3 linked regions of the Pelodiscus sinensis genome follow. The protein of the gene in region 2 purifies or fractionates together with the protein of the main gene of each other region. This does not show direct contact. Links are inferred from orthologs where the notes say so. Each region holds a gene or a part of one and is shown on either strand. Other genes may lie near its edges.

What was found.
Region 1: the proteins of DNAJC7 (region 2) and STIP1 purify together in Homo sapiens (affinity purification with mass spectrometry; 4 studies listed by BioGRID and IntAct, with this or other methods). This does not show direct contact. The link is inferred for Pelodiscus sinensis from reciprocal best matches to the Homo sapiens genes DNAJC7 and STIP1.
Region 3: the proteins of DNAJC7 (region 2) and MLF2 purify together in Homo sapiens (affinity purification with mass spectrometry; 3 studies listed by BioGRID and IntAct, with this or other methods). This does not show direct contact. The link is inferred for Pelodiscus sinensis from reciprocal best matches to the Homo sapiens genes DNAJC7 and MLF2.

Annotation. Positions count from the first base shown.
Region 1 is NC_134721.1:33,439,682-33,449,793, forward strand, and holds the start of STIP1 (stress-induced-phosphoprotein 1), read right to left. Parts: upstream 4,592-10,112; 5' UTR 4,445-4,591; coding exon 4,436-4,444; intron 1,042-4,435; coding exon 832-1,041; intron 1-831. UniProt on the Homo sapiens protein: Acts as a co-chaperone for HSP90AA1. Mediates the association of the molecular chaperones HSPA8/HSC70 and HSP90.
Region 2 is NC_134739.1:9,682,184-9,691,505, forward strand, and holds the start of DNAJC7 (dnaJ homolog subfamily C member 7), read left to right. Parts: upstream 1-5,286; 5' UTR 5,287-5,357; coding exon 5,358-5,440; intron 5,441-9,322. UniProt on the Homo sapiens protein: Acts as a co-chaperone regulating the molecular chaperones HSP70 and HSP90 in folding of steroid receptors, such as the glucocorticoid receptor and the progesterone receptor.
Region 3 is NC_134711.1:138,444,474-138,454,922, reverse strand, and holds the start of MLF2 (myeloid leukemia factor 2), read right to left. Parts: upstream 4,394-10,449; 5' UTR 4,319-4,393; intron 4,279-4,318; exon of another isoform or gene 3,992-4,278; intron 3,983-3,991; exon of another isoform or gene 3,597-3,982; 5' UTR 3,574-3,596; coding exon 3,524-3,573; intron 3,317-3,523; coding exon 3,190-3,316; intron 2,083-3,189; coding exon 2,047-2,082; intron 1-2,046.

The sequences.
Region 1 (10,112 bases), on a different chromosome or scaffold from region 2:
AAGCCATTCTGATTGAAGAGAACCTCTTCAGGATTAAACTCAAGACACTGAGGTTCAAGTTTCTACACCAAACTATGTGATGTTGGGCAAGTCAGTCTCTTTGTGCCTCAGTTCCCCATCTGTAAAACAAGGTTAACAGCAACTGCTTTGCTCACAGTGGGACTGCATATTAAAGATTGAGATAACTGTGTTAAAGAATGCAAAACCACTAAAGTAACAGAAACTACACAAGTACATGAAACAACAAGCTGGGATTTTCCCAGAGTTTTAAGATATTTAGTCACCCAACTCCAGCTCCTTTGAATCTCTCTGTCAAAAATCAAAGGGATTTCTCTTGAAGTATATTTTTAGAGCAATGAGGTTTCATTTATTCCTGGTTTGAACTATGAAGATAACATGATTATGTTGTGGTACAATACAACTTTTCCTGCCATATATGGCTAGGGAGAGCCAGGTGGTAGCCATATTTTAACTCCAATCAGCACCTACAGCAAACCATGACTCTCCAATGACTAAGATCTTAAGGCACAAAGTCACTATTGTGATCAGCCCTTCTTAACATCAGCCCTAACATTCAGTTCACAAGCAAGACAACATAGCCCAGTGGTTCTCAAACTTTTTGGGCACCGGAGCCCTTTACATGCGTAAAAATTTATGCGGAGCCCCAGTGGTCCACTGATTGTACATGTTGTACCTATCAATGTTTCCAGTTTGTCAATCTCGCAGAGCCCTTGGAGAGGTCTCTCAGAGCCCTGGAGCTCCGTGGAGCACAGTTTGAGAAACACTGATGTAGCCTAAGACCCCGAAGAGAATCTAGAGAAGGACCCTTACCTTGCCCCACTCTGGCTTCAGCTCAACAGTTTTACAGGCATCATCCAGCGCTTTCTGGTACTCCCCTTTCTTGGCGTAAGCTGCAGATCTGTTGCTATAGAGCACATGGTTCTTGGAATCTAGTTTTATTGCTTCTGAATAGTACTTGATGGCTTCTGCAATGTTGCCTGCACTCAAGGCTTTGTTGCCTTTCTCCTTCAACTCGTTCACCTATCAGAGAAAGGGCAAGAGTGAGCAATGGATTAGCATGATCAGCTATGGGTGGAAGTGTCAAAGGAATCCTCTTGCCTTGGAATTATCTTTCCCAACTCACTGCATCACTTGCAGGAAAGTGACTTTAAAGAGTGCTCCTTGTTAATGTCTCGAGTCCTGCTCAAGCAGCAGCTGCTTAGAGTCTTACTGCTAACAGCACTTGGGATAGGAAGAATAATTTTTCACTAGAAACCACTTATTCAATACTTACTTGATGGGAGACAATGCCTCCTTTAACAGTCCCAGAAACATTAATATAAGAGCAAGATATGCATCTTGACAGCAGAAATTCAATAAGAACTTGGATACTGACATAGCTGTTACATGGAAGTTGTGCAATACCAAAGGACTCCAGATTCCTCAATAAGAGGTCTGTGAACACCCCAAATCACAGACAGCAAGTCTATCCCTCTCAATTCTCACCCAGACAGCTAATTCTCCCCTTTCAGGACCCCGCTTGGGTGGAATTCTCCAACATGACTGATTCAGCTAGTTTCATAAACAAAGGCCAAAAAATGTCATCTGCTTCTAAGATGATGCAGCTTGGGCCATTCGGTCCATCCGGAGTCAAAGGAAATCTAGCTGTGATTTAACCACCCAGCTCAAATACTCCAAAGACCCAGAAGTCACCAGGCAGGTAAAGTCTGCAGATGTGACTTCCCTGCAAGTGTGAACTGATGGGGATGCAGTACATCACAAAAACCCAGCAACTGCTAGTGAGATGTCTCCGCCAAGGGAAGGCAATCATTGATGAGTCACTTCAACAGCACATCAGGTAGGAACTCTAATGAGCTCCCTAGGAAGTCTGCATACAAAATTTGCATTTTTCTCAGCCTATTACTTCCACTCTCCAAGTACTTTATAACCTGAACTCTGCCAGTACAAACAGAAGCTTGTCCCAGTTACATCAAAAGTCTCCCTTCTACAGGGAGTGTTAAGATGGCTCCCTAAAACTATTACAATGCAACTCCTTTTTCAGTACTGATGGGGCCTGAGCAATAATAGATCTTTAAATTATATGCCATGAATAGCAAAATAATTACTACCTCTAAAAACTTTTGAAGGATCACCCTATAAAGTGCTACCAGACCATTTGCTTACTGGTTTTTTTTTCCCCTGTAACAGACTAACTCAGCTACCCCCTGAAGCTCCCAAATTAGCTGACAACGTAAGAGCCTTACTATTTGGGGCAGAAGCATGAATAATCAAATTTTAAAAAATACCACCACACTTTACATTCTATTTTAATTTTCAACAGGGATGTTAAAATGATTAACCAGTTAAAACTGTTTCAACCTAAGTCCCACATTGGTTCTGGGATACTGCCACTTTGCTAGCTGGCCTCTCCAGGTACAGCTGGCAAGTTAACTCCAGAGATGGCAAGGGCCTGTTAACCAGTAAGCCTGACCATTTACTGTTTAGCCGGAAAATTAGTGAGTGCCAGGGCTCAACAGCTCAGAGATGATGATACAAACTAAGAACTTTTCTCCCCGCCCATTTTAGAACTGGATTTACACTCTGACACAAGCCATATAAGTAGAGATAATTTTGATGAGCTTCATTCCAGTTCCTAGCCAACATTTGTATGGAATATATAATACTGCAATACCTGGGCATTTTTGCTCAAGCCAGAAAGCAAGACAGAAATGAAGACTTGCAGAGATAAATCAGGAGTTATGCCTGCAGGGGTGGAGGCAGGAGGAATTCCTTTTGTGAAGCGGGGAGGAAGTTGGGATTGACAGGCAACAGCAAAGCTGTGAGGGGTGGAATTTAGTACTTGGACAGTAGGAAGCTGCATGTCAGGACTGAGGAGCATTGACAAACACAGGATATGAAAGTGTAATGTGCAAACTTTGTTTGCCTGTGTGCAATGATGAACAGGTATTCTGATACAGAGGCAGCAGCGTGGGGTGCAGGCAGGAGCCAGTACATATGGAGAGCTGACTCTGCACACAGTAGCTCCTGAGGAGCTGGCTGCCACTCAGCGTGTAACTGCTGAAAATTTTACACAGTTACTTTATTACACCCATTTTAACATCCCTAGTTGGGATCTTGTAGGTCAGGACTTTAGGGCACTGGCAATGCTGTGCTTGTGTAGGAGACTCACATTGCCGTCACCCATAGTATACCTAGGCTCTAGCAAGGATAAGCACCTCAATTACATTAGTTCCATAGCAACGTACATTTTAAACTAAGACGTGAAGTTAACAAAACTGCTTTACTCCAAGATAAAGCAGCTTCCTCAAGTCAGTGATCTGCTATGCTTCAAGAAGCAAAGTCAGCTGAGCAGCCTTTACCCATACCAAAGCGACAGGCCCTCTTCAAATGGGACAAGCAGAAGGGAGATTCTGGTGACAATTTTTTGTATTATGCCACCTGTACATCTGCTCCAAATGCTTCCTCGATTGAGAATACTCCAGGGTCTCCTTACTGCACCTTAATAGGCTTTGTTTAAGCAGCAGGTCAGCTGTCTGTCTACAGCCGCCATCTCCAGCATTAGAATGCAATACATAGTTCATAGTTGCTTGGAGACCTCAACAGCTACTCAGCATGAACAGTTACTCCTTCCTGGGCATGCCTTCTATTGCAGGGGGATGAGGCAAGGGAGACTTCTGCATGCACATGCAAAAGTGAGGCAGAAAATGAGAAGATGGTACTTACATCCCAGCTACATATCTCCAGACAGCACACTGAACCTCTCTCTCACACACACACACAATCAATCTTATACATTTTGTTCACATTCAATGCAGATTCCCTGTGCTACCTACTTTACTAGCCAGTCCATCTCTTCGTGCTCCCCTTTTTAGCTCCGAGGAAACCTCCTGCCCAAACCACTCTATTTCCTCCCGCATGCCTGCTTCCCAGAAACCCTGCTACCACCAACTTCTAGGACTCTCGGCTACCTCGTCTCACACCTGCTCCACTGCCCCAGACGGCTCTGCAGTAGCCTCAGAGCCCAGCCGCCCTCTCCCGAGTGGTCACTTCAGTAGGCACGTTCACGTCGCTCATTCGGGCACTCTCATGCAATCAAGGTAAAGAGAAGCGATAGGCGGAAAGGGGGGGTGTCCCTGCCCAACCAGCGCGGGTTAACACACAGCTTCGCCCCGTCTACACGAGGGGGCTAAAACGCATCTGGCAGCACGCTCCCTCCAGACCTTTGCACCTCTTCGAGGCAAAGTCGCCTACCCCGGGCCCTCCCCTGCCTGGCTTCACCCCACCCCGCGCTCCTGCCCCCCAACTCCCTCCCCAGGCGCCGTCCCTCGTAGCTGTCACCTCCTGCCCCAGGCTGCAGCTACCCCGCCCGCCAGCACACAGCCCAGCTCGCTCCTTGGCAGGCCCGGCCCTTCACCTTCTCCATGGCTCCGGCTCGGGGCCCAGTTTTGCGGGACGCTGCCGGTTAAGTCTCCTCCGAGCCGGCCTACCCCGTCTCACGCCGCCTTCTGGAACCTGCTAGAAGCCTCCTGTATCGCCCTCGCCGCCCCATTGGTTGGTACGCGTCCGGGTCCCGCCCCCTCAGTGCCACCATAGATTAGAAAGGGTGTCGCTCACAGGCCGGGCCTTACCTATTCTCCGCCTCGGTAGCGCCAACAGGGCGGGATTATTGAGATTCGCATAGGGATACGAGAACATAGATGTCAATTCGCAACTAGCCCCGCCTACCCCGCGTCTCATAAGTCTGGAGGTATGCCAATCAATACGCCCCGCGAAGAGCCTTCCTTCTACCCGCCCTCACTGTGATTGGATCTCAACCTAGGACCACGCCCCCCGCCCTGCCCATGTGATTGGCTAGCATCTCTAATACTCTCAGCAATCTTCAAAATCCATTGGCCTGGAGACCCCTCGTGATTCTAACGGCCGTGTCCATTGGTTAGAGACATTTCTGGAATTTTCCATTCGTTTCATTGGTTCTGAGGAACAAGGTGACGACATGCGAGGCGCTATGTCCTGATTGAGCGGAGCGGGTCTACGTCATCATCGCTTCCTTATTGGGCGACTCCAAGAGTTTAAAGGAGGGACGTTCTGCTTGGTGGGGGCTGAGCTGGAGTTCCCGAGAGGCGGTGTCTGCGCATGCGTGTAAGAGAAACACATTTGCATGTGCTTTCCGTGGCCCCTAATACGGTTGGGTTTTCACGCGTGCGTTGTACACACTCTGCTGGAGAAGGTTGTTTGCATGTAGCTTGCACGCCCCAGGGAGGGGAGCAGGCTCTGTGGTTGTGGTCCTACTCCTTCGCCCAATCCATGTGTATTTTTCTCTTGTTTTTTTTTGCACCCTGTACCTGCCTCATCTTTTGTGTGCCTGTACTTACTGGGGAGCACGTGCATGCTGCAACAGTGTTTCTCAACCTTTTTTAATATGGTACTCCTTAAGAAAAATTATATGTACCCCCCCCCCCCCAGTACCTACAGTTTTCAGACTCACAATTTTTTTTCTATTATTGCAACACATTTGTTTAAACAACTTAATCGTAGCTGGGCAGGCAATGCAATTTTTGGGTGTAAAAAGTACAAAAAGAATAAAGTGCTGTAAAACTTAAAACAAAAATTCAATTTTCTTCAAATTTCAGTTGTGTTGATGTACTCCCCGGACTTCTCTCAAGTACCCCTAAGGGTACTTGTACCACTGGTTGAGAAACACTGTGCCATAATATAGCAGCGCTATTCCAGTCCCACTTGCCTGGAACTATTAGGCTACGTCTACACTGGCCCCTTTTCCGGAAGGGGCATGTAAATTTCACGAGTCGTCGTAGGGAAATCCGCGGGGGATTTAAATAAAAATGTCCGCCGCTTTTTTCCGGCTTTTAAAAAAGCCGGAAAAGAGCGTCTAGACTGGCCCCGATCCTCCGGAAAAAGTGCCCTTTTCCGGAGGCTCTTATTCTTACTTCAAAGTAAGAATAAGAGCCTCCGGAAAAGGGCACTTTTTCCGGAGGATCGGGGCCAGTCTAGACGCTCTTTTCCGGCTTTTTTAAAAGCCGGAAAAAAGCGGCGGACATTTTTATTTAAATGCCGCGGGGGATATTTAAATCCCCCGCGGATTTCCCTACAACGACTAGTGAAATTTACATGCCCCTTCCGGAAAAGGGGCCAGTGTAGACGTAGCCTTAGTCTTTGCCAGAGTTTCGTTGTAAATAAATGAGTGCAAACATTGTGAGTCTTAGAATTTAAGCAACTATCCCTTGGTACAAACTGTATGAAATTTGTATGTCATGGTGGCTGACTATTGTGACTAGTGTTCCCTTTAATGTTTTCCATTCATGTGCAGAATAAAACTTTGTGTGTGCTGAGGCATGTGCAAATGTGTACCACCAGTAGAAAAAAACTCACTCTGCTAATCACTAGGTGGCATTCGAATTTCTTATCAAGAACTGCTCAACCACACAGTTTACAGGAAACACTGATTGCAACCACATGCAGTGTTCTTGGAGAGTCTATTGTAATACATTTATGAAAGTTTAGCTTATTATTTTGAGGAAGGAATTGTACACAGTTCTGTGGGGTATCTCAGCTAATACCAGGATCAAAAAACAGCTATAGAAATTGTAACCAGCTCCAGAAAGAATAACACTTGGGTGGTTTCCATGTATATACTGATCCATAGACTAGAAAACAAAGACTTTGGGTATCTAAAAACTGAGTTTGGAGAGTCTTGGGAGTCTTCTTTTTGATTAAATAGATGGACAGGATCTTGGCTCCTAGGGAAACCTCAACCATCCTTGCTGAAAGGTTTTGACTAGGACTCTATAGCTACGCCTTCACTACGGCACTATTTTGGGATATCAGAAATATCCCCAAATAGCTATTCCGCATCTTTAAAGCAGCCCATTATTTCAAAATATTTCAAAATAACAGGTACACTATTCTGGTGTTCCTGTAACCCTGGTTCGATTAAGGTTAAGGGATGTTTTGGAATAGTGCTTTATTTTGAAATTTGGCACTATGTAGAAATAAGCTCTTTTGAAATTACCTCAAAATAAGCTGCGCAATTTGCGTAGCTCATTTTAAGGTAAGGGTGCAGTGTAGACGCACCCTATTAAACTGATGGGTGATGTCTATCGCGTTTAGTAAACCTATATGGAGTTTTACTGTTTGTATTTGTGTGCTTTTTTCTTTTGGTTGTTAAAATGTACTTTGCTCAGAAAGACCTATGTGGTCACACTCATAAAAACACTAAGGTCTAGCCTTCAGGCAGAATGGCTGGCTGGGGATATTACAGTGTATGGGGAGGATTCTTCAGTGCAGCCTTAAAACTCTAGGGCTAAGTCTACATTGCCACTTTACTGCGCTGCAACTTTTGGCTCAGGGGTGTGTAAAAACACCCCTCCTGGAGCACAGGAAGTTATAGCACTATAAAGTGCCAGTGTAAATGGGCTCCCAGCACTGTTAGCTGTTCCCTTCCTGGAGATGGTTTACATAGAGCAGTGGTCACCAGCCAGTAGATTGGGACCTACTGGTAGATCTTGGAGCCTCTGACAGGTGATCCTGACTGGTTTGGCCACGTGGCTATCAAGTGCCAGCACTTCAGCTGCCTCTTCTCCTACTTCTGCACATCTCCTGCCCTTTACCTTGGAGCTGTTCTCCCAGGAGCCTCCTGTTTGCTGTGCAGGGCAGGGAAGGGAGAGAAAGGGTGCTGATGTCAAGGTGCCCCCTTCTCCCATCCTGTATTGTATTTCCACAGAGCAGAGAGGGGGCACAACAGGACTTGGGATAGAGCAAGTTTGCTGGCTGCTTCTGGGAGTGGTGCAGGGCCAGGGCAGGAGTGAGCCTGCCTTAGCCCCACTGCACCATCACCCAGGAGCCACCTGAGGTAAGCAGTGCCCAGCTGGAGTCCACAGCCTGAACCCTTACCCAAGACATGAACCCCCTTCCTGCCCTAGCCCTGACCCCTCTGCATCCAAATACCTTCCCAGAGCCTACATTTAGAACTCCCTCTGGCACCCCAACTGCCTGCCCCAAGGTCAGCTCAGAGCTCCTCTCACACTCCAAATCCCTTAATCCAAGACCAAGCCTGCACCCCAATCCGCTGCCCCAGCTGGTGAAAGTGAGTGTTGGGAGGGAGGAGGATGGAGTGAGCAGGGGCAGGTCCTCAGAGAGAGGCAGGGCAAGGAGCACAAAGGAAGGGGGGCAAGGATATTTGGGTTTGAGGTAGATCTTGGATTGCACTTAAATTCAAAAAGTGATCTTGTGTGTAAAAATGTTGGGGACCACTGATATAGAGCTCTCCTAGTGCTCTAGATGTGGCCTCACTTTCAGTTTAAAGCACAGTGCTGTCATGACTGCGCTTTAATTTTTAGAAGTGTAGACAAAAGCTATGTCTACACTTGCAATTTATCAACAAAACTTTTGTCATTCATGGGGCGCTTAAGTACCCCTTTCATCATGAACAGACAGTTTTGCCGTGGCAAGTGAAAGTGTGAATGTTGCTTTGTCGGAAGGAGCACTCGGCTGTTGACAAAGCAAAACCTCCTATTTGGGAGTAGAAGTATTTTGTTGACAAAAATGCCAATAAACAGCATTCACACATGCTCACTTTTAGTGACAAGGCTGTGTCAACGCAGCCTTGTCACTAAAAGCTGCGTAGTGTAGACATACCCAAAGAGCCTGAGCCCTGACTGGCCACTACTGGAGAGACCACACAGATAAGGAATACAGGTGCAGCTACCCTGAAATGGTGACACATGGCATGGAATGGTATGCAAAATGGGTATTAGGTGCTATGGTATATATGCTACAATTTTGGTAAGAGCAATGTACAGCAAAGAGGATGGGTTACATAATTTTTGTGCACTTGTGTATTTCCCAGGATATGATTTTTGTACATGGTGCACATGCTTTGCGGGATGCTCCATATACACAAGTACCTTTGCAAGGATTCAACTCCCTGCAGCAATTTCACTCAGTGTGACCCCGGGGGTTTACCTGATGTCATATAATTGCAGGGTGTTTTCCTCATTGGGCACAAATCTCAGCTGTTTCACAGAGGAGTTTCATGGTGGGAAGCGCCTGCAGAAGCTGCAGTGCAAACTTCTGGGCTGCTTTCTGTAAAACATTTGAAGGAGCTGATGTGGGGGAGGAGGAACTGGAAATCAGGAGCCAGGACTCTTGGGTTCTATTCCTAGCTCTAAGGAGAGGTGGTCTCATGGTTAAAGCAGGAAAGGTCTGAGAATCAGGCCTCCTGGATTCTATCCTTATACCTCACTCCTTTTTAGAGATAATGGTTATAGCAGGGGGGTCTGGTACTTAGGACTTCTGGGTTCTGTCCCTAGTTGTGGAAAAAAAGTGGAGTCTAGTATTCACGGGGTGCAGATGGGAATCATGATGCCTGGTTTCTACTCTGCTAGTGACCATTTTGCTGCGCTGTGCCTCATTTTCCTGAGAGGGGGGAATAACACTGATTTATCCCTAGGGAGTTTGCAAAACTATAGATAGTTGTGAAGTGCATTTTAATTCTGCAAAATAAGGACCAATAAGCAGTTTGTGGTGATAAATGCAGAACTGAATCTTTAAGTCTTGTTCTAAGACCTGCAGATCTTAATTCAGGGGTTCAGGACATAAAAGAGGATGCCCTGCTCTTTAGATAGCATGGATCTAACTAAAGCAACCGCCCCGGAGACTAGCAAAAGGCCATGTCTCCCAGCAAGCGACATCTATGTTTTCTGGTATGACTAACACTGCTAAATTTAGTAGGGTTGCCAAGGCACCCTGCACATTCAGGAGGCAAACATCTATTTATAGTGAGGAAGCTACCATACTGTGCTGTTTAAACAGCCCACGTGCGTGTCCCCTTTGCAAATAAATGATTGCGTTTTAAAAGTAGCATGTCGTTTCCTGCCTACAAACAGCTTGAAGGTGGGTTGAGAACCAGTCATTGAAGTTAAATGACAGCTTGTTTTGCCTGGGATTCTGGGAACTGTAGTTTGCAATGCTTGCTCCACATTTTTTCAGCCTCCCAGGTTTCAAAGCTAAGCTCGGTGGTCGCAAGGGACACTGAGGGGCAAATGTGGATGAATTCTGTTTTGCGTTTATGTTCA
Region 2 (9,322 bases):
TTCCTTGGAATTGGAGGGCGCTGCATGTGCAGGCCTGTGGATTCGCAACACCTTGGGAACAGCGGGGAGAGGGCCTGTCTCCTTAAGGATATCGAGCTGTGCCACGGGAGAGCACTGCACATTGGGAAGTTCCCCACATCCCAGCTAGTTGCCCTGCTGAGTGAGGTCAGTGCTGGAAGGTCCCCTCCTCCCTCCCAGGGGACATGTGGACAAGCCCTGAAGAGCTGAGCTCCCATCTGCATGAGCATTAAAGACACCTCGGAACACTTCCGGGAAGAAGCTGGATGTTCCTGGGGGCCCCTGGCCCAAACTCCCCCTCCACCCACCGTTGTGCTGTGGGGTTGCCACCCTCCACCCCAGAGGAAGCTGCATTTCACAGACCAGTACACAGCATGGGGGTGGCAAATAGTTTTCACACCCAGACAAGGGTGTTGGGAGACATCTGAGCCCAAACCCTGCGCTGGTAAGGGGCAGAGGGAAAATCAACTGTGCAGGTCTGCCACTGGACTAAGGAGATGGGGGTTCACTTCCCAGCTGTGCCACAGGCTCCCTGGGTGGCCATGGGCAAGTCTCTTCACCTTGCAGTACTTCCGTTCCCCATCTCCCAAAGAGGGACCAATCTCTCCTGCCTCCATGAATAGTTTTGGGGCTCAGTTTCCACTGGGCTAGGAAATGATTCACTAGGTTTTTTCTATCTCATAAGCCCCCCTTTCCACACACACACTGGCTACGTCTACACTGGCATGATTTTCCGGGAAAAGTTTTCCGTTAAAAGCATTTTCGGAAAAGCACGTCTAGATTGGCAGGATGCTTTTCCGTAAAAGCACTTTTTGCGGAAAAGCGTCCGTGGCCAATCAAGACGCGGTTTTCCACAAAAAAGCCCCGATCGCCATTTTCGTGATCGGGGCTTTTTTGCGGACAACAATACTATGCTGACTACACTGGCCCTTTTGCACAAAAGTCTTTCGGAAAAAGACTTTTGCCCGAACAGGAGCAGCATAGCATTTCCGGAAAAGCACTGACGATCTTACAGAAGATCGTCAGTGCTTTTCCGGAAATTCAAATGGCTAGTGTAGACAGCTGGCAAGACAGATGATTTTGCGGAAAAACTTGCCAGTCTAGACACAGCCACTGTGATCCACGCTGGGGAGCACTGATGGCATATCCTGCATTCCCCCTATTCTACACCCCCCCCCCCCTTCTGTGCAAATGCATGCTCCTTGAGATTTCGGCTCAGGAACAAACCAACGAAGGTGCTGGAAGTAGGGGGGTTGCAATCGCTGCAAGGCAGGGGAGTGGGGCAGCACAGGGCTAGACTGGTCCAGGCCCTGATCCTCACTGCAGCCTGGGCATGCTAATGAGCCCAGCTGTCAGGCTGGACTCCCAGAGGCAGCTGGCTCTTGTGTGGAGCCTCTAAGCATCTATGTATCATGTATCTCCCTCTTTGCCCCCATCCAGATGGCACAGTAAATCTCTGAGGAGGGAGGCCTCTACCTACCTTCTCAGGACAGCTGTCTGTCTCTGCTTTCCTCTTCCGAAAACTGCAGGCTTAACTGACTCACATCCCGACCAATGAAGGGGCAATCAGGGAGACAGCAAGAGGGAGCAAAGGAGAGGAGAGAGAGCCTGCTAACCACAGGACAGCACCACCTAGAGCTGCAGAAAACAGGCTGTGCAATGCTTGCTTTTTCAGGAGAGGCCGACCAGGCTGGCTCAGTACCCTGCAAAAAACACACCAGAGCTGCAAAAACAACGAGGAGTCCTGTGGCACGTTAGAGACAAACAGATGTATTAGGGCATAAACTTTTGTGGGTTAAAAGCACTTCATCAGATGAGTTGAAGTGGAGTTTACAGAGGCGGGGATGTGTGTGTGTATATATATATATATATATATATATATACACACACATGGATAACAAAAAGAAAGGATAAACTTAAAAAACAACAAATAGTCTGGTAGCACTTTAAAGACTAACAAAACATGTAGATGTATCATGAGCTCTTGTGGGCTCAACCCACTTCTTCAGCAGTCATCTGAAGAAGTGGGCTGTGTCTATGAAAGTTCATGATACATCTATGTTTTGTTAGTCTTTAAAGTGCTACCAGACCATTTGTTGATTTTTAAGTTTATCCTGTATAGACTAACTCAGCTACCCCTCTGAAGCAAAAGAAAAAGGGTCAATCATCTAATGAAGTGGGTTCTACTGACGAAAGCATATGCCCTAATCAACTTGTTAGTCTCTAAGGTGCCACAGGAATCCTCATTTTTTAAGATACTGACTAACAGGGCCACCAGTCTGAGACTTTAAACCAAACCTGTTATCTAACTCCAGATTCACACCAATGGCTCATCCGTGGCCCCATGTTCTTTGTAACTTCACAGGGAGGAGACCCTGCAAATTGTTTTGTTCGCATTGAAGATGCAACTGCCCAGCCGAGCTGTAGGAAAGAGATGTTTCTTCTGTGCTTATCTGGTGGCTTCCTGACCCCCAGCTGGGAGGCCAGAAGCCCTCATGTTCCACTCAAGTGGGGCTCTCCTGAAACCTGTCCCCTTCCTCCAGTCCTCCCACGCCCTGGTGCAAATATGACACACACACACAAAAAGGAAATTTAAGGCAACTAATTGCCACTAGAATCACACCTATTTTAAAGCAAAGTGTGCTGGAACAATTTTTATAGTGGGGGTGTTGAGAGCCATTGAACCAAACTGTAAACCAGGGGTCTCAAACTCATTTTACCTTGGAGCCAGTGCCAGTCCTCAAATCCACCTAGTGGGTCAGCAGGCACCCCTCTCTAGCAGGGTTCGGGGGGGAGTCTCCACACATTCACACCCCCCACGTGTCTCCCGGTCCCAGCTGCTAGTCTATGCACTCTTCTCCCATGCATCCCCCGGCACTGTCTGCCATCTCTGGGCAACTTAACCCTCCCCCCCCCCACAGGGGTTCCGGTGCCGCTACCAGTAGCACGGCAAGGCTAGAGCAGCTCCTCGCTGCTAGCGCTGCATCCCTGTGGCCCAGGAGAGATGTGTGCAGAGCCATCCCATCCATAGAACGATTTGATGCGGCCACCCCGGGCCCTGTGCATTGGGGGGAGCGGGGCCCACAGCAGCCACCCCAATCGTCCTATGGACAGAATGGTCCCCCATACTTAGTGATAGAAATGTAGCTGTGTTAGTCTGGTGTAGCTGAAACAAAATACAGGACTATGCAGCACTTTAAAGACTAACAAGATGGTTTATTAGATGATGAGCTTTCGTGGGCCAGACCCACTTCCTCAGATCAAATAGTGGAAGAAAATCATCACAACCATATATACCAGTGTTCATTTTTTTTAATTGTATCCTTTGGTATATATGGTTGTGACGATTTTCTTCCACTATTTGATCTGAGGAAGTGGGTCTGGCCCACGAAAGCTCATCATCTAATAAACCATCTTGTTAGTCTTTAAAGTGCTACATAGTCCTGTATTTTGTTCCCCATACTTAGGTTAGCCTGTGGGGCCTGGGGCAAGCTGGGGCTAGCAGAAGGGTTCAGGCTCCCCCTTTCCCCTCCCCCCACTCGCCACAGCAGGGAGAGCTGCAAGGAAGTGGAGCTACATAGCATGTCTGAAAATATGGAGGGAAAGTTCCCCCCACTCCCACCAGCCTGATCTTCTTTTCTTTGAGATTCCAGATGGTTATGAAGCTAGCTAAGCTTTCCGGCTGCAAATATCCTGAAATCCAGAGTGACGGTTTAACCCCCACCGAGCGTTAAGAATATTTGAGATGACCTTAGCTCAGATCTGGCCATTGGTGTGAGAGAAAGCAAGAAATGGCTTTTAAAAGGCAACATTATGATGATTAATGTTTTTTAATTATACATCAAGCACCTGGAGAAGCTTCAGGCAACCGCTAAAGCAAGTGAAGACACATCTCCTGGCCTAGAGAGTGCACAACCTACATGCAATCCAACACAATCCTGCAAGGAGACCCGCATGGGCTGATCCCTTCTCCTGCATGGATCCCCACTGGAGTTAATGAGACTCTGTGGGGCAGCAGGAGTCCACCTGCACAGGTCTCTTTTGCCGAAGGTCCTAAGTAGGAAATACCACAGACTCAACCTATTTACCATTGTAGGCTGCATGTGCAACTCTCTCCGTGTTATGTGGGTTGCAACTGCATAATAGATATATTACTTGTACAGCCCAGGGGGATGTCACGTGGGCCGTAGTTATGTGCTGATTGGGTTGTGGGTTGAGAACCACTGGCCTAAGGCATAGGCACAGCTAAATGTTTAGGAAGCCAATTATTTTTACATGACTATTATCTGTTGATGTGGTTACGGTGACCGTTGGGTGCCATGTGACAGGGGTTTAGCAGAAAGATGCCTTAGCATGGCAGTTCACTATTTACAACCACATTCTCATAGCCATTTATTATCACCTGTGTGACAATCATACCTAGGCGGGCTCTTTGGGGGATCAGGATGCATTGTGCCGGGTGCTGAACAAACCCCAAGAGCTCATCATGCTGCATTGCCGGGGGGCCCTCATGGCCACTGTCACTTCGCACCCATCGTCGCTCCATGTTGTGCCAATCTCAGGTGCCCTCTATAAGTCACCATCATGGCTCCCTTGCTGCCTCCCAAGCAGGGTCCCCCCCCCCAGCACCTCCCCTCAGGCTGGCCAAGTTTGGGCTCATCCGAGCTGGGCAAGGTGCCTCCCATCACCCCAGGCTGGTCAGTGCTCCCCCCATCCCCCAAGCTGGCCGGGGGGGGCCCATTCCCATCCCCCAAGCTGGTCCAGGGGGCCCCCATTCCCATCCCCCAAGCTGGTCCCCATTCCCATCCCCCAAGCTGGTCCAGGGGGCCCCCATTCCCATCCCCCAAGCTGGTCCAGGGGGCCCCCATTCCCATCCCCCAAGCTGGTCCCCATTCCCATCCCCCAAGCTGGCCAGGGGGCCCCCATTCCCATCCCCCAAGCTGGTCCAGGGGGCCCCCATTCCCATCCCCCAAGCTGGTCCAGGGGGCCCTCATTCCCATCCCCCAAGCGGGCCAGGTCTCCCCGCCCCACGTATTTCTACCCCCTCCCCCGGGCTCCCCCTCACCCTCGGGCTGGCCAGGGTCCGGGTCCCCCATCCCCCAAGCTGGCCAGGCCAACCCCCCGTTCCAGCCTCCCAAGTTGGCCAAGGCTCCCCCCTGGGAGATTGGCCCTTCTGGCCCCTCAAGCGCCCTCTCGGTGGCCCCTCCCGCGGCGGGCCCCTCTTGACGGACCGCGCCGGCCTCTCTTTGCTCCCGGAAGTCGGTGTCGCTTCCGCTTCCCCCCCTCCCCCCGCCGCCGCCTCTCTTTCCCCCTCCCCAGGCTGCCGGCCCGGCTGTAAGATGGCGGCGGCGGCCGAGTGCGATGTGATCATGGCGGCGGCCGAGGGAGCCGGGCTGCTGGGCGGCGAGGAGGAGACTCGCAGGTAGCGGGGCGCCGGGGGGGGGGCTCAGGAGAGAGCCGGGGGAGGGACTGAAGGGGGGGTCGGGGCCCCTTGGGGTGGGGGAGGGGAGTGGGGCCCGGTGGGGGGGGGTTCTCAGCCCCAGCCCCCCCCCCCTCGCGGCCCTGTGACCCTCCCAGCTCCGGGGTGTCTCAGGGCCCCGGCCCCCTCCCGCACTATGGGGGGGGGGAGGGGGGAGCGCAGCACCAGCCCGCCCCCGCCCCGCTGGCCCCCGAGGTTATCAACCCTCCCTCCGCCTCTTCCTTCTGTTGAAATCCGCCCCCTCGGGCGGGGTGATGGGGGGGTGCCCCTGTGACACCCCCCCCCCACAAGGATGCTCTGTGCAGATGCCGCTCACCCCGGTGATCGTTCAGGAACCCCCCTTTCAAGCTGAGTGGGTGGGGGGTCGGGGGTGAACCTACCAGCTAAAGATGCATTTCTCCCCCCCACCCCGCCATAGCCCGAATGGTTTTTATACCTTGCCATGTCTATAACCCCCTGGGCCTACTGGGGGTTTTATAACGGGTAACTCCCAAGGAATGCCGTCTGGGCATTTCTAGTGCACCCAGCCCTGGCGGCAGTGTCCAGGCTGTAAATCCCTGCACCATAGAGATTACGGTATAATGAACAAGGATGGATGGTTGATCAGTAACCGGGGAGAAGGTTATGGTGGGCTGTTTCACTGGACCAATCTGAAGGCAGATGGCAGCAGATACATGCTTAATACTTACTGTCCTGACTCTGCAGAATTGATTTCAGCCCTGAAGAACAGGGGGGGTTCACAGTGGAGTCAGGGAAGTTCAACAATTCAGTTCCCTTCTGCCCTTTAATAAGTATGCTTGGGCTTGTTTAGTTTGGAAAAAAGAAGATTAAGGGGGGACATGATAGCGGTTTTCAAATATCTAAAAGGGTGTCACAAGGAGGAAGGAGAAAATTTGTTCCTCTTGGTTTCTGAGGACAGGACAAGGAGTAATGGGCTTAAAGTGCAGCAGGGGAGGTTTAGATTGGACATTAGGAAAAAATTCCTAACTGTCAGGGTGGTCAAATATTGGAATAAATTGCCAAGGGAGGTGGTGGAATCTCCCTCTCTGGAGATATTTAAGAACAGGTTAGATAGACATCTGTCAGGGATGGTGTAGATGGAGCTTGGTCCTGCCTTGAGGGCGTGGGGCTGGACTCGATGACCTCTCGAGGTCCCTTCCAGTCCTATTATTCTATGATTCTATGCCAGATTTGGGGAGCATGGCCAACAGCCCCCAGCATGTGATGCTTTGTTTCAGGGTGGTTTGGCTTGTATGTCAGATGCTAAGCTCTGGCCTTTGCCAGACATGCCTCTGTGTTAAAGGCAGGGGTGATTCCAGTTGTGGTCTATTATACAGAAAAGGTGCAGTGGTCTTTTGGCCAAATCTTGTGCCATATAGAAACCCCAGCCTACTGTATAGTGCCCGTGATGGGTGCTATACAAAACACTGATAGGCAGTAATTCTGGGTTTCCGAGAGTTTTGTGTCCTTCTCTCAGGACAGGACTGCTCTGGGGATAGCATGCTCCCGTCTTTATCATTTCTGCCCAGAGGCAGTATCGATTAGCACTGCCATTTTCAAACTGGGGGTCAGGACCCCAAAGTGCTGACTTAGACTGGTTGAGGCCAAAGCAGAAGCTTAAGACCCATTGCCCTGGGGCCAAAGTCCGAGGGTTTCAGCTTTAGGTAGTGGGACTCAGTTTACAGGCCCTCTGCATGGGACTAAAGGCCTTGGGGTTCAGTTTTGGCCTTCCCCATGGGGCAGTGGAGCTTTGTCTCCCTCCTCCCCCAGACCATGGGGCTCAAGCTTCAGTCCCCCTCCTGGGGTTGCATAGTAACTTTTGTTGTCAGAAGGGGGTCACGGTTGTGAAGTTGGAGAATCCCAAGACTAGGGTTAAACTCTGTATGTGGTGTGGAGGGGGAATCCTCATGGCTCAAACCCCTTGAAGGTGGTTCAGATCCTTTTCCCTTCTCTAACTCCATTGCCTGAGGACTTCACAGTTACAATTGCACCTACCTGTACAGAACAGTTACTGTTGGAGATGTCTGATAGCGTGGAGCAAGTTACACTCAGAGTCCTGCTCTCAGATACCTGTCCTGTGTCAAAATGTTCTCTGGGTATGGTGGTTCTCCAAAGTACACTATGTTTTGAAGGCAGGGTTAGTAATTGTTGAAAGACCAAATCAGCTTCGTGCCTAAAGCTAGTTGGGAAATATTGCCCTGTGGTGCAGATACCGTCTGAGGTGTGGTGTGGTGAGAATCCCAGCCCTTTCCTCTGGTAATGAATTCTCTTTACAAGAGCAAGTGCTTTTATCTCCACCTGCTGCTGTGCTGTTGCAGTCACAGCAGGGGATGAAATTTAAAGATCAGCCTTTAAGAAACACCGTGCTAAGTTCAAGTGTTTAAAACAGGCAGGTGAATCTCAGCAGCCGGATGTCTCCGGGGGGGAATACCACCCCATATAGGATGTGGCAGAGCCTGTCATTCTAGAGAGGGGTTCACCTCACTGATGCAGGAAGGCAAAATGAAACTGAAAGGTACCTTGGAGTAGTTCCAGTTTCAAAAGGGCGGCCTGTGATATGTGTACTGCTGCTGCTTAGCTCTCAAAGGGTGAGGCCAAGGCAGTGGCATCGGAAGTATTTGTAACACCTTGAGGGTGTTAATTACATATATAAATCACGTTGTAGAAAAGGCACTTCAATGCTACATAAAGGATCCAAGTGTCACAGAGTTACAGAAATTCTTAGTACTGGGAAAGCCCTACAAAGTTTCATGTAATCCACAGCCTTCCTGTGGCTAATGTAAGGTTGTTCCTTAAAGTATTCTCTCCAGGGCTTTGTTCGCTTTAAAATGACTACTTTAAATATTAAAAGTATCAACATTTAAAAACCATGAACTGGGCTTAGTCTTCCTACTACAGAGATCTCTTGGCACCAACCTTCTCCTCTCTACCTGTGTGCAGAAGGCACCTACAGGAAATGAAATAGTCATGAATAAAATGATCCCCATTGAAAGGACTCAGGAGTCCCAGAAACAGAAAAACTCTGACATCCTTAGTAGGAGAGTTGGTTCCTGGCCCACTCCACATAGAACCTTGGGAATGGAGAGCAAAAGCAACATAGTTCACTCAGATATCTTGATGGGATAGGGACAGTACCTCAGTCCTGGGTCATTACAGTTTATGGCTTTATTTTTCCCTTTGGGGTGATCCTTTCTTTTAATTTGATTGAGGGATGGAAGGGCAGCACTTGTGATCAAGAACTTCCTGGTTAATCTTCTGTTTGCCATGAAGCTCCTTTCTGGGTTCGAGCAAGTTCTTTGGCCTAGTTTACCCACTTGTAAAATACAGATTCTGCTCAGCTGCCTCACAGAGAATTATTTGAAGACTTAGCAGATCTCTGTAAAGCCTGTTGTACCATGCAAAGTGCTGTAATAACATAAGAATGGCCATGCTGGGTCAAACCAAAGGTACATCTGGCCCAGTCTTCTGTCTTCCAACAGCAGCCAATGCCAGGTGCCCCAGAGGGAATGGACAAGAACTGGTAATCACCAAGTGATCTATCCTGTTGCCCATTCTCGGCTTCTGACAAACAGAGGTTAGAGACGCCATCCCTGTCCATTCTGGTTCATAGCCATTGATGGACCTATTCTTCATGAGTTTATCTAGTTCTTTTTTAATTCTTTGCCTTCACAACATCCTCTGGCAAAGAGTTCCACAGGCTGGCTGTGCGTTGTAAAGGCTAAGCATTGTTGGACTTAGACTAGCCCTCAGAACCTGAGGTTTTCACTACAGCTTTTGTAGAGTATGTGGGTAAATTTCCTATTTAGAAAAACCCACCCGGCAACC
Region 3 (10,449 bases), on a different chromosome or scaffold from region 2:
CTCTTATATGCCATTTCTTGGGGGACTTCCCTCAGCTATTGCTTTTCTTGATCTAACATAACTATGGCTGCTCTCATTCTCTATTCAAACATCTAGTCATTTTTGATACCCGAGAGCATGAGTTACACAAGTGAATCATGAAATATACAAAACTTTGTCTTTTCTCAGCTTCAGATGTGCTACCTTTCAATTTAAATGGCCAATTTAATTCTTGAAACAGGAGAAAGGTAAATTGTATAGGAAACAGATTGACAGAGCCAGGCAAATGCCCAAAAGTCAACTACTTCAAGACAGGCCCAACAAGGAAAATAACAGAACACCGCTGGTCATCACCGACAGCCCCCAGCTTAAACCTCTCCAGCACATCATTAATAATCTACCACCTATCCTGGAAAACAATCCCTCACTCTCACAGGCCTTGAGAGACAGACCAGTCCCTGCCTACAGGCAGCTCCCCAACCAGTAGCAAATCCTTTCCAGCAGCCACACATCATATACACTCACCCCTGCAACAAACCCTGTTGCCAAACTTGTTAATGTCTTTGTTTAGGCCCAGGGCAAGGGTGTCAAATCTGTAGATAAATTCCAGTTCTGCAGACTCTCTCTGTAATTGGTTAATGAAATTCCTTTGTAGAAGATGGCTACTTTTAAATCCAGGAGTGAGTGACCAAGCAGGTTAAAGTGTTCCCCTATAGGTTTGTGTTACCATTTCTGAGGTCTGATTTGTGTCCATTTATCCTTTGGTGCAGACACTGTCCAGTTTGGCCAATATACATGGCAGAGGGGCATTGCTGGCACTTGATGGCATAGATCACATTAGAGGAGATGCAGCTGTATGAGCCCCTGATGTCGTGTCTTATGTGGTTAGGTCCTGTGATGGTGTCCTGCCATTAACATCTGCATTTCCACATCAAAGTATATGTATGAGACACTTAATTAGCTTCATTAACATGGGTCCTATAATTGACAGATACTTCTGCTGCATGTGTGCATGTAGTAAAATCTCTTGGTTTCTGTTATTTCCACTCCAGTTCACCTGATGAAGTGGGTTTTGCCCATGAAAGTGCATGATTCTACATATTTTGGTTAGTCTCTATGGTGTCACAGGACTTCTCATTTTATGTAACCTATTATTCATTCCTTCCCTAACAGAAACAGTAATCTCGCTTCATATGAAAATCTTTAGGTTTCCAATGACTTTTGCCACCCATGACTGAACTCCCTCTATTCCTGCTATGTCCTTTCGGAGAGAGGGTGACCGGGGGGGGGGGGGGGGGGGGGGAAGGAGACAGTGTTCCAGGTGAGGGCATCCCACTGATTTATGGAAAGACATTGTAATAGCTCAGTTATTATTTTCCGTCCTATTCCTGGACATGCTAATGTTTTGTTGGCTTATTTTACAACCATTACCCATTAAGCAGAGGTTGTCATTAAGACTCTTTAATGGTATCCAGGTCTTCTTCCTGAATAGTTAATAGTCCCCAGCTCAGATTTATTACCTGCCCTTGGAATCCAAGTCTCAGCCTTGCCCCCCTCTGAGCTCCAGGCAGCTTGCTTGGCAGGTGGGTTGCAGGGTCATACCTAAACAGCCAGAGTTCCGCCTGCTCTTCCCATTTGTGTATTTATTCGTTGTATCACAGAAGCAACTGAGCTTAGGGTTCAACTGTGCAAGATTCTGTGCAACCATTTAATAAGAGAAACTCTACTCTAAACAGACTGAAGGGGGCACAGAAAAATAAATTGACCTCAGAAAGTCAGAGGGCCAGTGAAAGCTATGAGTCAAGCCCAGGTTTCCGACCCACTGGCCCACACCGTGTTAGGGTCTTTTCCTATGATCCGGGGTTTGCCCCGATGTCCATGTTCTTTCCCCCTTCCCAGTATTGTATTTGCCGACACGCTCACCTAGAGGTGGCTGCATCGCAGCACTGCTGATTATTTGGAGCACCTGAAGAACTTGGGGATAAAGTGACCTGTTGGGGGGCTGTAAATCTGGATGTTATGTTTTGGGGAAGGCCCCAGAGCTGCACAGAGAAATTGAGGCCTTACCATTCCCAACATTCCAAAGGGTGAGATGGCTCCTGCCTGCAGGGAGCAAAAAAGAGAAAGAAAAGTTAGCAGGGACTCATCCTTTGTCCATACTCAGGACTCCTTCCCCATCACAGGAAATAGAAAGAAACAGTCCACCAAGTGGCCAAATGATTTAACAAACACTGTCTCTCAAACTGCTGCATGCTCCTCCACTGCACTTAAGGTATAGGCTGGGGGAGAAGCGACACCTTCAAACCTCTTCTAGTGAGATTAATTTTGGCCAAGGGCAGGCACACTTTTTGGCCTGAAGGTCACAGCAGATATGGAAATTATATGAAGGGCTGAGAAGGGTAAAGGCTGTAACTCCCAACTCCTGCCTGATGCTCACCTCCCACACCCATCCAGCTCCCCAGAACTCCCTGCTCCTTATCCAGTCTCCCTAGTTCTCCACCCCTTGACCAGCTCCCCAGGACTTCCTGCCCCCTATCCAACTCCCACCACTCCATGTCCCTTGACTGCCCATCACCTATTCCACTCCCTCGTCCCAGCTCAACACCACTTGACTGCTCCCCCATGACTCCCTGTTCCCTATCCAACCCCCCAACGTCCCACCCCTAGGACCTCTTCCCCCATCCAACCCTCCCTGCTCCAACCCCCACCTTGACTGCGCCACTCAGCCGGAGCTACAGCCATGCAGCCCAGAGCATTAGAGCTGGTGGCACAGTGACCACACTGCCAGGAGTTGGGGGAGTTGAGGGGACAGAATGGGAGATATTAGGAGCTAGCTGCCCCTGCTTGCCCCCCTACTCAGGAGTTAGTCTAGCTCCTTCTAGCAAGGCTGTTATGACCCATTCCATAGTAGGAGCCTGGGGGTGAACTGAAGGGTCAGTGGAGTCAGAAGCAGCCCATGGGTCGTAGTTGCCCCCTCCCCCCCTCTAATTTAAGCTCTGCAAAACGGCACTTGTCCTCCATCACCCCAAGACACTAATGCTCTGCAAGACAGTGGATTGGAGGGAAGAATATGAAGTAAAAGAAATATAACAGCTACGTTTTAGGGGACTAGTTTTCCTTCCCCCACTTTGTGCAAAGAGAACTGCCCCATCCTAACCATATGGGAAGTCACAGGGCAGATTCTTCAACTATACTCAGCATCCCCTTTACCTGCATCCTGCGGCTGGCCTGACGTGCCCCAGGCATGGTCCCATCAGTTATGCTGAGGAAGGGGCTGTATGCAAAGCCTCCAGAAAGCATGCGGTTCATATGCTGACGGTGAATAGCAAAAGGGTCCCTGCAGGGGGTCAACAGGAAGAGGAAACCTTAGGAAGCAAAGTCCCAGGTACCCCACCAATCTTGACTCCTTGACCTAACCATGACCCTACTTCCCTCTGAGAGTGGAAAATACAATCTGTGAGTCCTGACACCCAGTCTTCCCTAATGTCATCTACTTGGACCCACTCCCACACCAGACAATACATATTTGGAGTTTCATACGCACATTGCAAACATGGGGTCCTCTGGCTCCCCATCCCTCATGAACCGGAACATGCTTCCTTCGGATCCGGGGAGGGCTGTGCAGAGAGGGAGCCTGGATGAACACAAGCAAGCCGGGGGACACAGGGCATGACCCCCTCTGCCTTCACCTCAAGAGCACCCACGAGGCCGTGCAGCCCTGCTGATAGCCTCAGGCCCTATGCAGAGCGACGGCCGCAGACGCCTCTGAGAGGGCGGCTCAGCCAATAGGAGCCATCGCCCCAAACCACCGCTCCCGGATCTGGCGTGTAACCCCCGCACCGACCTCTCCCGCACCCCTGCGCCCAGGGCCGGGCCGGGCGCCCCCGTTCACACGGGGCTAGGCGGAGGCACCAGGCCGTCCCAGCGCGGACACAAGCGCCGCCGCCCTGCAGCCAGCGCCCGCGGGCAGGCACGAGCCCCCGGGACCCCCGCGCCCCGCCCGCGCCCCTGCCTGGCGGGGTCCGCCGCTCGCCGCCGCCGCCCTTCCTCTGCCGCGGGCTCCAGGCAGCGCCGCTCAAGCCCGCGCGCCCATCCAGCCCCGAGCTGCCGCGGCCTGGCGGGGGGGCCGGGGAAGGAGCCGCCGGGAGCGCGCCGCCAGCCGCACCGGGGCCTGGCCAGGAAGTGAGGTCGGGCCGGGCCCGCCAGCGCCTCCCCGCGGCCGCAGCGCGCAGCGCAGCCCGGCCCGGCCCCAGCGGCGCCGCGGGCGAGGGGCCGGGGAGCGGCGGGGGCCCGGGCCGGGAGCGGGGCGACCACAGAGGGCGGGGGCGGGGCGCGATACCCGTCGTGGCCCCGGGCTCCTTTGTTGTGAGGCTGCTCGGGAAATGGCTGCCGGCAGCCTGGCTTCGGCGCCGTCAGCTGAGCGGGGAGGAGCCGGCCGGCCGGCGCGCAGTGCCCGCGGGGGGCAGCAGGGGTCGCCCTCGCGCCGCAGACCGGGAGCCGCGCGGCTGGGGGGGGGCGGCGGAGGCGTCGAAGGGCCGCGGCGGGTTTCGGGCTCCGCCTCCCCGCTGCTCCGTGGGGCTCCTCCCTTGGGCCCAGCCGGGGCGAGGGTCTAGGCCAGAGGTGGGGTGACCCCTTGGGCCCACGGCTGCTCCGGCCCGGCCAGCGCTGCTCTGCAGTTCCCGCACCTGTTTGCCACCTTCTGCTGCCTGGGCCCCCAGGGCCTCCAGCACTGACTGTTGCTTCTGCCTCTTACTGCTTCCTGTGCCTGCTGGAGGGTGCGCCCAGGGACGGCAACCTCCTCAAACCAAGGCACCACGCTGCATCCCAGTTCAGAACTAGTGGTTAACAAAGAGTCCTATAAGAATGCCCATTTGCAGGACTGAAAATACACAATATTGATAACTGGCATGATGCTTAATAACAGCATAAATGAAACACTGCACTCCCAGACTTTATTTAAGGGGACTTCTGCTGCTGCTGGGGGTGCAGATTGTGAATGTGAGGCTGCAGGAGTCAGGGTTGAGGTGTATGGGGGCTGGGGTGTGTGGGAGGTGCAGGAGGCAGGGCAGGGTGCTGGGGATGGGAGCTGAGGCTGGATTACTTTACCTGGCAAGGGCTGGGCTGCAGCACTGGGGCAGGCTCCCCCCCGCCTCATGCCACAGCAGGAGTGGGGCTGCCACTAGCCCTTCCTGCAGCCAGATGTGGGCTGGACTAAAGGGCCTGCCCTAGGGTCAGGGCTAGGGCCAGATAGAGGCTGGACCCCAACTGGTTCTTTGTTGGCCAGGCCTCATTTTATATAAAGTAAAATATGTCCAACACAAAAGGTTTCAACATTTATCTTTATTTATGGCAGGGGTGGGGAACCTTTTTTGGGTCTGTGGCCATTGGCCCACAGAAAAATCAGTCAGGGACCACACAAGTGAGAAGTTTAAAACAAAAACCCACCCTCCAAAACCCCCCAACCCTCACTGATGTGGCACCCAACTGAAATATCTCACATCTTACTCACCCAGTGCTCCAGCCCCATGGGGGAAGAGAGGGGCAGGGAAGACTGAGGTTCAAGGCCTCAGGCCAGATATTCTCTTCTGGAGTTCCAGGGTTAGTGGATTTTGTGGCCTCTCCTAGACTTTGAGGTGGGGCCAAAAATGAGGTGTTCAGTGTAGAGGACAAGGCTGCCAGTGAGTGGGATAGGGATGGGGATGCAGGATCTGGGCAGGAGGTGGGGGTGAGGATGGGAGGTCTGGGTGAGACATGGGGATGTAATAGTGTAGCTGATTAACCTTTTAACCAATAAGCAAAAGCTTATAGGTTAATGCTATAGACCAGTGTTTCCCAAACTATGGGCTGCACCCGATACCGGGCCATGGGAAAAAAACACTGGGCCACAGCATGGCTGCCGGGAGGGGGGCAGGGCTGGAGGGCTGAGAGGAGGTGTGTGTGGGGTGCAAACTGGCCGCCAGGAAGCAGGGTTGGGGGCAGTGGGACTGTCCAGCGGAGATCAGGGTAGTGTGCGTGGGGGGGGGCGGCCGGCAGAGATCGGGGTGGGGGTGGGTGGGTGGGCTGCAGAAGCAGGGTTGGGGGCAGCGGGGCTGTACCGCAGAGATCGGGGCGGGTGGGCAAGCGGTGGAAGCAGGGATGGGGGGGCTGGGGGAGATCGGGAGGAGAAGTGGAGGAGCGGGGGGGTGGCGAATCGGCTGGCAGGAAGCAGGACTGACCCAGGCACATGCAGACCCGGAACACTAGTGAGTCCAGCCCTGGGGATTCCATTTTGCTCCTCCTCCCCATATCCTCCCTCGAGTGGTTGCGAACTGCCTGGCTGGTAGACACACACAGCATGAGCACATCTACCAGCCAGGCAGTTCACAGCTACGGACTGATACACCTAATAATAATAAAACTTACCTAATTAGAAAATACCGGACATTTTATATGTCCAGTATTTTCTCAATTTGTTTCCCAGACAGAACCCTCAAATACCAGACTGTCCGGTACAAAACTGGACACCTGGCAACCCTACCCCACCTTGCACCCTCCCTCCTAGCCAGATACCCTACCCCCAATCTGCTCCTGCACCCACCTAGAGTGCCCATGGGGTGCCGGGTCTCCCAACCCCTGGCCCATGCTGGGCGGAGGATGCAGCTGGGTGAAACACTGAAAATTTATTCATTTTTAATTTTTTTTATATGCGTTTATATTTTTGGGCTGTAAAAAATAGTACTGAAAAAAAACGGGTTCCAACTAAAGTAAAAAGTTTGGGAAACCCTGGTCTAGCCAGCTTTCTATCCATCTTACAGTCCATTTATCCAATCGATATTCCCTTAACTTGCTGGCAAGAATACTGTGGGTGACCATATCAAAAGCTTTGCTAAAGCTGGCATTGGGGGCTTTGGGAGGACCAGAAGCAACTTATTTGAATATTCATCATTTGCTTAATGAATATGCAAATATGCAAATGCATGTTACCGGTCCTCCAAAAGCCCGTGAATGGATTTACTGGTCCCCATGTCAAAAAGTTTGGAAACCCCTGCTATAAACTACATGCATTTCCCTCTCCCTCTCCCCCATGTCAGTAATTTTTTTAATAAGCTGGCCAGCAGCCAGCTCAGTGCTGGCTCATGCCGGGTCCAGGAGCTCAGACCCCTTTCCCCACTGATGGGCTCTGTATTCAAAGCAGCAGCACAGGGCCACAGGCATCCAGTCTACGAGGGGAGCTGGTTTATAAACTGGCTCCCCTTGTGGACCAGCTCCTGCCTGGCACCTTGTGCTGCTGCCTCTGATACAGAGGCTGCCAGCTCCTCTCCCAGGGACTATAGAATAGTCAACTAAACAATAAAAATTCATGAGATTACTTGAATATTCAATTAACCAATATTTAACATCCCTAGTGGGAGGTAGGGTGCAGGAGCAGGCTGGGAATAGGGTGTCTGGTTAGGGCCACACTAGAAGATATACCTATCTCATAGAGCTGGAAGAGACCTTGGGAGATCATCAAGTCCAGTCCCCTGCCCTCATGGCAGGACCAAGTACCATCCCGGATGGATTTGCCCCAGATCCCTAACTAGCCCCCCCTCAAGGGTTGAGCTTACAGCCCTGGGTTTAGTAGGCCAATGCTCAAACCACTGAGCTATCCCTCCCCTCCAGGGAGGGGCAGGAGGAAGGGAGGATGCAGGAGCAGGCTGGTGGTAGGGTGTCTGGCCAGGAGGGAATGTGCAGGAGCAAGTGAGGGTGTAGAAGCAAGTTAGGGGTGGATAGGGTGTCTGGCCGGGGGGAGATGCAGCAGCAAGGGAGGGTGCAGGAGCAGGTTGGTGGTAGGGTGTGAAGCCAAGGGGGAAGGTGCAGGAGCAGATAGGTGGTGGGGTCTGTAGTGAGGGGGGAGGTACAAGAGCAAGGGAGAGTGTAGAAGGAAGCTGGGTGTGCGGGATCTCAGCACAGGGGACTGGTGGTGCAGGGTCTTGGCAGGGTAGTGAGTGTGGGGGCTGGGGTTCAGGGGTCTTGGTAGGGCAGTGAGCAATGTTCCTTCTAAGGTGTGCACCTACGAAGGCACGCACCAAAAATTTCAGTCCCACCCACCTCCTCAGCAGAGCCACACAGCTGTGGTTCCAGCTATTCCTGGGGGTGGGGCCATGTGGCGGGTGGCTGCCCCGACCCAGGAACAGCTGGGCGGCCACCACAGCAGCTGGGAGCTGGAGCTTGGGCCACAGTACTAAAAATAGCACCACGGCCGAAGCTGCAATTCCGGCCCTAGCAGCGGCCACACAGCCATGGGCGTAGCAGCTCCTGTGGGCGGGGCTGCATGACGGGTGGCTGCCCCATGTTCCAGGACTGCTGCCGGGGCCGTGGTGCAGCTGCTCTTGGGCCATGGCGTTGGTGCTAAAAATAGCACCATGGCCACACCCGGGTGCAGCCATCACACAGCCCAGGCAGAATGCGGGAGTCCCGGGCTGCAGCAGATCTGCTGGGGTGAGTCCCTGGCAGCAGTGGAGGTTAGTGTGACACGGGCAATGCTCCAGTGGCCAGAGCCATGTGGCGGGAGAGGGACTGCTCTGGGTGCCGCAGCTGGAGCTGGGCCACAGTGAGGCTGTGCACCTTGTGCACATGACCTCAATATTAGGGCGCAAGACAAAACTCATTCCGCTCACAGATGGAAAATCTTAGAGGGAATATTGTCAGTGAGTGCTGGGAGTAGGGTTGCAAGGTGTCACCAGGGGGCAAGGGGATGGGCGTACGGGAACTCAGTAGGGCAGTGAGTGAGAGGAAAGGCGGTGTGGGGTCTCGGCAGGGTGGTAAGTGAGGGTGCAAAGTCTTGGTTTCAAGGATATGGAGGAGCACCTACTTGCTTTCACACCACTTCCAGGCATGGCCTCCCGCTGCTCCCATTTACCGGATTCCAGCCAATAGGAGCAGCGGGAAAAGCCTCCAGGAAGCACATCCCTGTGCTACTGTTACCCCAGATGGGAGAAGGGAAGCAGCACACAGAGCTGTTTCTAGCTCTGGCTTCTTCCCCACAAACTGGATCTGTCTGGGAGGGTTGGGGCTTTTGCCTGTCCCCTCCATTTGCAGGAAGTGGGTGCTGGTGGTCCAATCTTGCAGGGGCGGGCATGAGACTGGAGTGCCAGTGCACGCTCCCTGCTGCGGGGGATGTGAGGGTGGGCTGACCTCAAACTACAAAAGAGCCATATCTGGTTCCCTACTAAGCCACATTTGGCTCCAGAGCCCTACGTTGCAGACACAAATTAGCCTTTTCCCCCTTCCCGTCTCTCAGCTGTACAGACTCCGGCAAGACACATGCACTGTCTCACAATTGCTGCTATCTTCTTTACCCAACACTTCTGAATTTGCTTTGGGCACTAGAACTGGACACATTGTTGTGCACTGGTTGCACCAGTGCCAATTACAGAGGTAAAATAACTTCTTTGCTGCTATGAGTGATTCCCATTTATGTCGTCTACCTACCATTTTGATGTTCTCTGTATCTGGCTGGCATCCACCACCACCCAACAATCTTACCCTTCCTCCCCCACTTCTCAGATCTTTCTCTCTGCAGTTAGCTGAATGTGACACACATGGCACACATCACCAGATCTTTTCATTTTGAAAATCTGGTTGCCCTGTATGATTGGGGGAATGTTCAGACAACAAACTCTTTTGGCAGAACAATAAAGGAGAAGGTAGGGGCTAAATGTATCATTTGACTTAGTGACTTCCCAATGCAAACCCAAAAAGACCATTCAAACCAATTAGCAAGTGGTGTTTTATTTCAGCACTTTCTCTTTGTTCATGCTAGCAGGATGCAGCCTCCATGAAAACAGGAACAAGACCAGAAATCTGGCCTGAACGGTTATCACAGCATGATAGATGTATGGATTAACAAAACTTAAAAAACAAGGTTCCTGTAGTGTCTCTCACTCAAATGCTCTTGTGTGACCACTATAAATTCGCTCTCTCCCAACACTGGGGGTTTGCCACAATCTCACTTTAAAATGGGATGTCAGGCTTTCAATGGTTTGTGCCTGTATTTATAAAAATATATTAAAAGTTATGCAAATCTTAAACTCTCCTGGTTTTTTGTTCCTTAGGCTGGATGGTTTTTATTGAGACATTTTTGAGTTGTTGCTGAGCAAGTTAAAAGACTTGAAATATGTCTTAAAATATTCAACTTTGTGTTTTCACTCAGAAAACAGTTTGAGCTAGCCCCAAATCTGCAAAATTACAGCAACAAATACATCAAATCACCTCAGGAGGGAAAAACCTCAAGGACAGCTAGAGACTTAACAGGAAATGTACAAGTGTGTGTCCACTACCATACACATGACACATATGCCTATATATGCATGTATCTACACAGGGCCATTCCTGGGGTAGGGAGGCCTGGGGCATACCCCATCAGTACTGTAGGCTTGGGACCCAGGGCACCACACCTTGCACAGGCCCCACCCCTGCTTCACCCCTTCCCAAGCCTCACCTGCTTCT